Linked DNA regions of Yarrowia lipolytica. The protein of the gene in region 1 interacts with the protein of each later gene in a pairwise test. Links are inferred from orthologs where the notes say so. Each region holds a gene or a part of one and is shown in the gene's direction. Other genes may lie near its edges.

Region 1 (3,426 bases):
TCCCATTATGCATACAGCCGAGTGGAAGCCGTTTGATTACGACAACAAGGACGTTGTTGTTATTGGAAACGGATGTTCTGCTGCTCAGGTCACCAGTGAGGTGGCCAAAACAGCGAAGTCAGTCACTCAGTTCGCCCGTTCTCCACAGTGGATTGTTCCACGGACTCCAGTCACTATTGGGCCTATTTTGCGGACCATTCTCAGTTGGTTCCCGTTCTTGATCCCTGTCCTGCGATTCTTCGTATTTTGCTTACTGGAAATGAATTGGAATATGTTCCGAGGAGGCTGGTGGTCCGACTTCGATCGGTCTATGCGAACCAAGGTGGCTGTGAAAATTGCCAAGAAGAACATGCCTGAAAAGTACCACGAAACAGCCATCCCCAAGTATCAGCTCGGATGTAAACGAATCATCTTCGATTGCGGCTACTGGGCAGCCTTGAAAATGGAGAGTGTGCTTCTGACCTTTGACAAGCTGGTTGAAGTTGGAAAGAACTCAGTCAAGGACATCAATGGCAACCAGTATCCGGCTGATCTGATTGTGGACGCTACGGGGTTCAACATTGGACGATCAATGACCTCTGTGGATGTGATTGGAGAGAACGGAATGCCTTTATCTGAATTCTGGGATGGCAAGGTCGCTGCGTACGAGACGGTCATGGTGCCTAACTACCCCAACATGTTCATGCTGTTCGGTCCCAATGCCACGACTGGACATAACTCAGTTATCTTCGGTATTGAGAACGGTCTCAAGTTTGTGGAGTCGGTTGCTTCCGATGTCATCCAGGGACGAAGTGACTACGTGACAGTGAAGCCCCAGGCATACGACCAGTGGGTGCAGCGAATCCAGGCTGCTATCAAACAGACCAACTTTGCCACGGGTGGGTGCGTGTCGTGGTACATGTCTGTTGGAGAAGCCACTCACAATGCCGTTTCCTATCCTTGGACCCAGCTGAGATTCTGGTGGAGAGCTCGATTCCCCCATTACGACGACATTTATGTTGAAAACAAATCTCAGAAGGTTACTCCAGGCAAAGCGATCAAGGCCGAGTAGTTTAGCTACAGTAGTAGCCCTTAGTGTCAGTTTAGGTCTAATATTATCCACGTGGTATATATACTTAACGACTCGTATCATAATATATACATGACCCTTTTGCGGATGTACTGTGGAAGTTGGTATCAAACTGGTATCGGTACTTGTGCGTACTTGTAGGTACAGTACGTACGAGTACTTGATTAGGGATGTTCATCTAGAATAATCTGCATCAACAAGGACAGTTGATGTTCCCAACAAAATAGGGACACACAATCATGTGGTTCAATTCCAACTTTTAGTCATCAAGTGTACACAGGAATAAAACCACAGGCAAACTTGATAGGGGTCACAAAGGCGATCATAAAAGTACATAGAAACATATAGCTTTGCGTTTATGGGGCTGCCGACTACTTGTACGAATAGTTACGTGGCCCGTACCCTCAAATGTAGATCGCCACCGCCTATCGGGGTTAGGTCGAAAACCTAATGACATAGAAAGTACTGGAAGCTCCTTCTATCTCAGTGTTTAAGAGATCGAGGTTCCTTCGCACAACCACACAACATTACCCCACAATCACACAATGAGCGACTTTGAAATCATCATCAAGTAAGTGAAACGAAAAGAAGCAATGTCTGCATCTTCAAAGCGCAATTACTAACCCAGGTCTTCTGACAAAAAGGTCCCGGTGTCTGTCAACAATGATACCCTCGTCTCCAAGGTCAAGGAGCAGATGGCAAAGGAGCTGGATATCCCTGCCGAGAGACAGCGACTCATCTACTCCGGCCGAGTGCTCAAGGATGGAGAGACCGTCGGATCTTATAACATCAAGGAGGGCCACTCCGTCCATCTTGTCAAGGGTGCTGCCCCCCAGGGCTCCTCCGCAGCTTCCGCCGCTAGCGCCACCTCCGCCATAACCAACACAGCTTCCTCCAATCCTGCTTCCACCGGAATTCCCAACAACATCGCCAGCGGTGCAGGTGCAGGAAACCCTCTGGCTGCGCTCACTGGAGCTCAGTTTGCTGGCCATGGTATCAACCCTCAGATGTTTGGAGATCAGTTTGGACAGCCTCCCTCCGAAGAGGACTTCATTAACATGATGCGACAACCCGGCTACAGAGAGTCCGTGGAGGCGATGCTCAACAACCCCCAGATGCTTGACATGATGATCAACTCTAACCCCCAGCTGGCCGCCATGGGCCCCCAGGCTCGACAGATGCTGCAAAGCGACCACATGCGACAGATGATGACTAACCCCGAGGTTATGCAGGGAATGATGCAGATCCAGAGAGCCATGAATCCCGAGGCTCAGGGCTCTGCTTTTCCCGCTCCTGGCGCTGCCCCCGGTGCCGGTGCCGGAACTGATGGCGCTGGTGCTGGAGCTGGTGCCGGTGCCGGTGGTGCTGCTGGGGGAGCCAACGCCAACAACATGGCCAACTTCATGCAAATGATGGGTGGTGGCGGATTTGGTGGATTGGGCGGTGGTAACGCTTTCTCTGCTCCTGCTGCTGAGCCCGAAGACACTCGACCCCCGGAGGAGCGTTACGAGTCTCAGCTGAGACAGCTCAACGAGCTTGGCTTTTACGAGTTTGACCGAAACGTTCGTGCTCTGCGACGAAGTGGAGGCAACGTGCAGGGAGCCATCGAGGCTCTTCTTGACGGTGGTGTTTAAGTCAAGAGATGATTAGAAGAGTGGGCTACCGGGGTGGGACAAACGGACGTTTCCGCTCAATGACAAACCAATGTACGCATATATATATTCATTTAGCTACGTGTACCAACTCCTGCATCAGCAGTATCAGAGTCAGAAAGTTGCAACTGTATTAATTATATTAAATGATTCAAACTACTGTTCCGGTGCTGCATGTACTGGCACATACAGGTACAAAAATGATCATACTGTAGATACTGTATACGAAATAATTGATGTTAAATAAAACAATGCACTAATATCTATAGGTCTATAATTAATGATACAATGACCTTGCCCAGATCAAACTTGATCTCCTCTTCGGTCAGGGATAACAAATCCAATCTCGGGAGCAGGTCGAGTGTAAGTGTCCTGGCTATCATCTGTGGTGCCACTCTCATCAACGACATGGATGTTTTGTCGAAGGTCTGTGGGGTTGGAGATGGCATCGATCTTGACATGGCCCTCGGGGTCTCGGGGGGTTCGATCTCGGCTTGCAGATCGGCTTCTGGAGAAGCTTCGAGTCATGGTCATTGTTCGAGACAGAGTGGTGGGGAGCTGTTTTCCCAGCATACTCACAGGGATTGTAATACCATGGACAACAACCGACGACAGAATGAGGAAGTACACTAGAGGGTACATGACGGTAATGAGCCAATGAGGGTCGTAAGTGTGGGCCTCACCATGCTCATTCTCTTCAACAAA
Region 2 (3,180 bases), about 3.0 Mb from region 1:
ACCAATAATGTACTCGGGATTCATACCAAAGTACGTTGCATGATCAGCTTTGTGCTCAAACGAAATACCAGGGACCTTGTTCTTAATGTTTCATGGGCTGGTTCCACTTGTTGTCCTTCATGTACCAGTATGTAGGTATTCATGGCACGCTTCATTATAGCCAGCTGAAGATTGGCACGGGCCTCCATTGCCTGGTTACCATTGGCATTACCCCAGAGCTTGATGGCATACACTGAGTGGTAGTCTTTAGAAGAAGACTCTTCATCCTTACCATCAGCACTAAGATGCAGGCCCTTAGCCCACGAGTGACCAGACCACCAGTAGAAAGATCGATGAATAGGAAAGCTCTTACCCTGAGGACTGGGGTTAGCGTAGTCTATCACCAGATTATCGACCCACTGTCTCTCTGAGTGAGCCATTTCCCGTCTCCCAGCTCTCTATCAACTTTGGCGATATAGCAGCGGCATGAACAAAATAACCATAGTGGATATGAAGGTCATTGTAGTAAGTTACCGAAATCAGCGGGGGAGTCCGTACCAAGGCCCGCAGTAGAGACAATGCCCTTCCAGAGGGTGTTGTAAGCAAGTGGATTCTGCTGTCTGTGATTGACGAACACAGTAAATGCGTTCTTCAATCGACCAAGAAGGTCGCGAGCACATGCCTTATCACCAACGACATCGTTCAGAACCACCAGAATCTGAGTAAATCTGTCTAGACCCTTTCTGGAGAAGTACATGGAATCAAGATTGGTCCGAGTGCGGCTTCTCTTGGTTGGCAACATCGGCGATAATCTGCGAACGCGAACATTGGCATCATCGAGGGAGACTTGTAGTTGGGTAGAACTGCCTTTGGGAGATAGCCCACATCTTGAGGCAACGACGGCTCGACCATTGTGAATTTGTCGGTGATGAACCCACGCATCTGGCCCTTGGCAGAAGAATCATGGGTCGCCATGGTCCAAGTAGAGTAGACAGCAGGCAGTCTGTCATGCTCTGGATCTGATGTTCGAGTACAAACATCGATGGTTTGTCCCTTTCGCTAGAGCCGGCATGTTTGAAGTTAATGCTTTAAGATCCACGAAGGCCATCCTGAACAATGTCATCAGTGGCAGAAGTTCCCACAGCATAACTTCCAGCCCAATGCATACGGGAGCTGTAACAAATGACGGCAGCTTGACGAGGTGTGCTCATCGGGGAAACATGCCCAAGGGGTCTGCAGTCGAGATGGATGCGAACAGGTTTCCGTTCACCCATGGCGCGTGGCGTTTTTCCAACTCGTTTGTATCCTGCCCATGCGCTAGTGCACTAACCAACCCAAGAAAGGCCCTGAGAGAATCTCATCTGACTAGCAGAAAGATTTGTTAGTGAGTGTTTCCTTGGAGATCTGTTTTGGCACGTGGACAAACATATGAATGAGGCTCTTGATGGGTTTACACATGGCTTGCTATCAGTAGTATCCAATCAGGGATCTCTTTACTGTAGTGTATCTCCATTGCTCATAATAGGCAACATAAAAAGCTGTCTACAGTATGAGCGCAAACCGTATACGAGAGTGCATCGCTTAAGTTCAACGAGCCATGTCAGACCCAACACATCCAATCCTGGTCATTGGAGTACATCAGTGCTGGGTGGTTGTTAACAGGAAGAGTACTGTACATACATGTAACTGTGCCTTGTGCTGGAGATGTCCCGAACTCTAACGGTGCTAACCATAGAGCAAACGAGGTGATGTTGATATTCAGATACAGTACGAGTACACAGTTCGGTTGTATATCAAAATGGCACATAATTTTTCCTTCCATTATACAATGCAAGTAAGTTGTCATCGTTGAACTTGTTTATCGCAGCTACAAGTACAAGTAGTGTACCGACGCTTGTATCGGTACAGAGTGCAGTGCGTGCACTCATCTTCCGTCACTTTATGTCATGCATGACCCAAATCAAACTTCGTTGCATCGAAATTTCAATCAACTTCAACACACCATTACAATGTTGACTCTTCCCGCGACCCTGTCTACACAAACAATCAACTACCTCGTGGCATCCGGTCTGGTCGGCGCAGGTGTCATTCTTGGACGATACGTCATTCCTCGAGCCACCACTCCTGCTCCCCGAAAGCTAGCTGCACGAAGACTATCTTCATCTTCGATATCCTCTTCCGAGGCCGACTCGTCCGAGGATGAGTTCACAGAGGAAGACATCAAGCAGCTGCAGGCTCACGAGGACAAAGCCCGTGGAGAATTGAAAATGGTGCTGGTGGTGAGAACTGATCTCAAGATGACTAAGGGCAAGATCGCAGCCCAGTGTGCACATGCAGCTCTGGCATGCTACAGACAGTCCTCCGATCTCAAGCCTAAAACCACCCGATCATGGGTCCGATGGGGCCAGGCCAAGGTGGCCCTCCAGGTCAAGTCTGAGGCCGAGCTGTTCGAGCTCAAGCGACAAGCTCTCGAGCGAGGTATCATCGCCTGTGTGATCCGAGACGCTGGCCGAACCCAGATTGCTGCAGGAAGTGCCACTGTTCTAGGTGTCGGCCCTGCTCCCAAGTCTGAGATTGACCGAGTCACTGGTCATCTAAAGTTGCTGTAAGCGACTGAAGTGCTGGGCATATAGACAGCAACTGAACAACGAAACTCATAGATTAATGCATGATTTACTATATACAAATGCTCCCTTATCATCCTTTACCAAACTCCTCTACACCTAAACACACAGGACCAGCTCTCCAGTGTATTTATTAGCGCGCACAACTCCCATGCTGACAAGCCGATCTCCTCGCTCAAGCTGAAGATCTCCAACCTCAACCTCAACCTCCATGTCCAAATCAATGCAATAAGCCCGCGCTCGTGTAGACAGCTTGGTGATAGGATCTCGCTTATAGGTAAGAGCAGGTCGAGTCACAACACACTTGTATGCAAAGTTATTCTGCGTTTCGATCCACAGAATCTTCCAGTATCGTTCAACCAGTTGAGCTGCCCGGTCAGTCAACCGTTGTCGAGGTCGCAGGTACTGTAAGTAGACACTTCGAAGCTGTCCAGCAGAGAGAGGTTGAGGCAGCTCCAGAATCATTCGAGGGGTCTCCTCCTCCAGAACGTCACACACATCGTCCTGGATATCATGCCATCTGTCTGAAAGAGGTGTGTATTCCTCCTTTCCAGCAGGCGCAAGCCAGTCTACTTTG

What was found.
Region 2: the proteins of YALI1_E02648g (region 1) and YALI1_E32396g interact in binary tests that used the Saccharomyces cerevisiae proteins (3 or more experiments, as listed by UniProt). The link is inferred for Yarrowia lipolytica from reciprocal best matches to the Saccharomyces cerevisiae genes DSK2 and PTH2.

Annotation. Positions count from the first base shown.
Region 1 is NC_090774.1:263,231-266,656, forward strand, and holds YALI1_E02648g (uncharacterized protein), read left to right. Parts: upstream 1-1,614; coding exon 1,615-1,640; intron 1,641-1,697; coding exon 1,698-2,703; downstream 2,704-3,426. Other genes in the region: YALI1_E02626g (uncharacterized protein), read left to right, coding at 1-1,051; YALI1_E02678g (uncharacterized protein), read right to left, coding at 3,025-3,426. UniProt on the Saccharomyces cerevisiae protein: Involved, with RAD23 in spindle pole body duplication. Involved in the ubiquitin-proteasome proteolytic pathway.
Region 2 is NC_090774.1:3,238,339-3,241,518, reverse strand, and holds YALI1_E32396g (uncharacterized protein), read left to right. Parts: upstream 1-1,925; coding exon 1,926-2,588; downstream 2,589-3,180. Other genes in the region: YALI1_E32411g (uncharacterized protein), read right to left, coding at 21-419; YALI1_E32361g (uncharacterized protein), read right to left, coding at 2,703-3,180. UniProt on the Saccharomyces cerevisiae protein: The natural substrate for this enzyme may be peptidyl-tRNAs which drop off the ribosome during protein synthesis.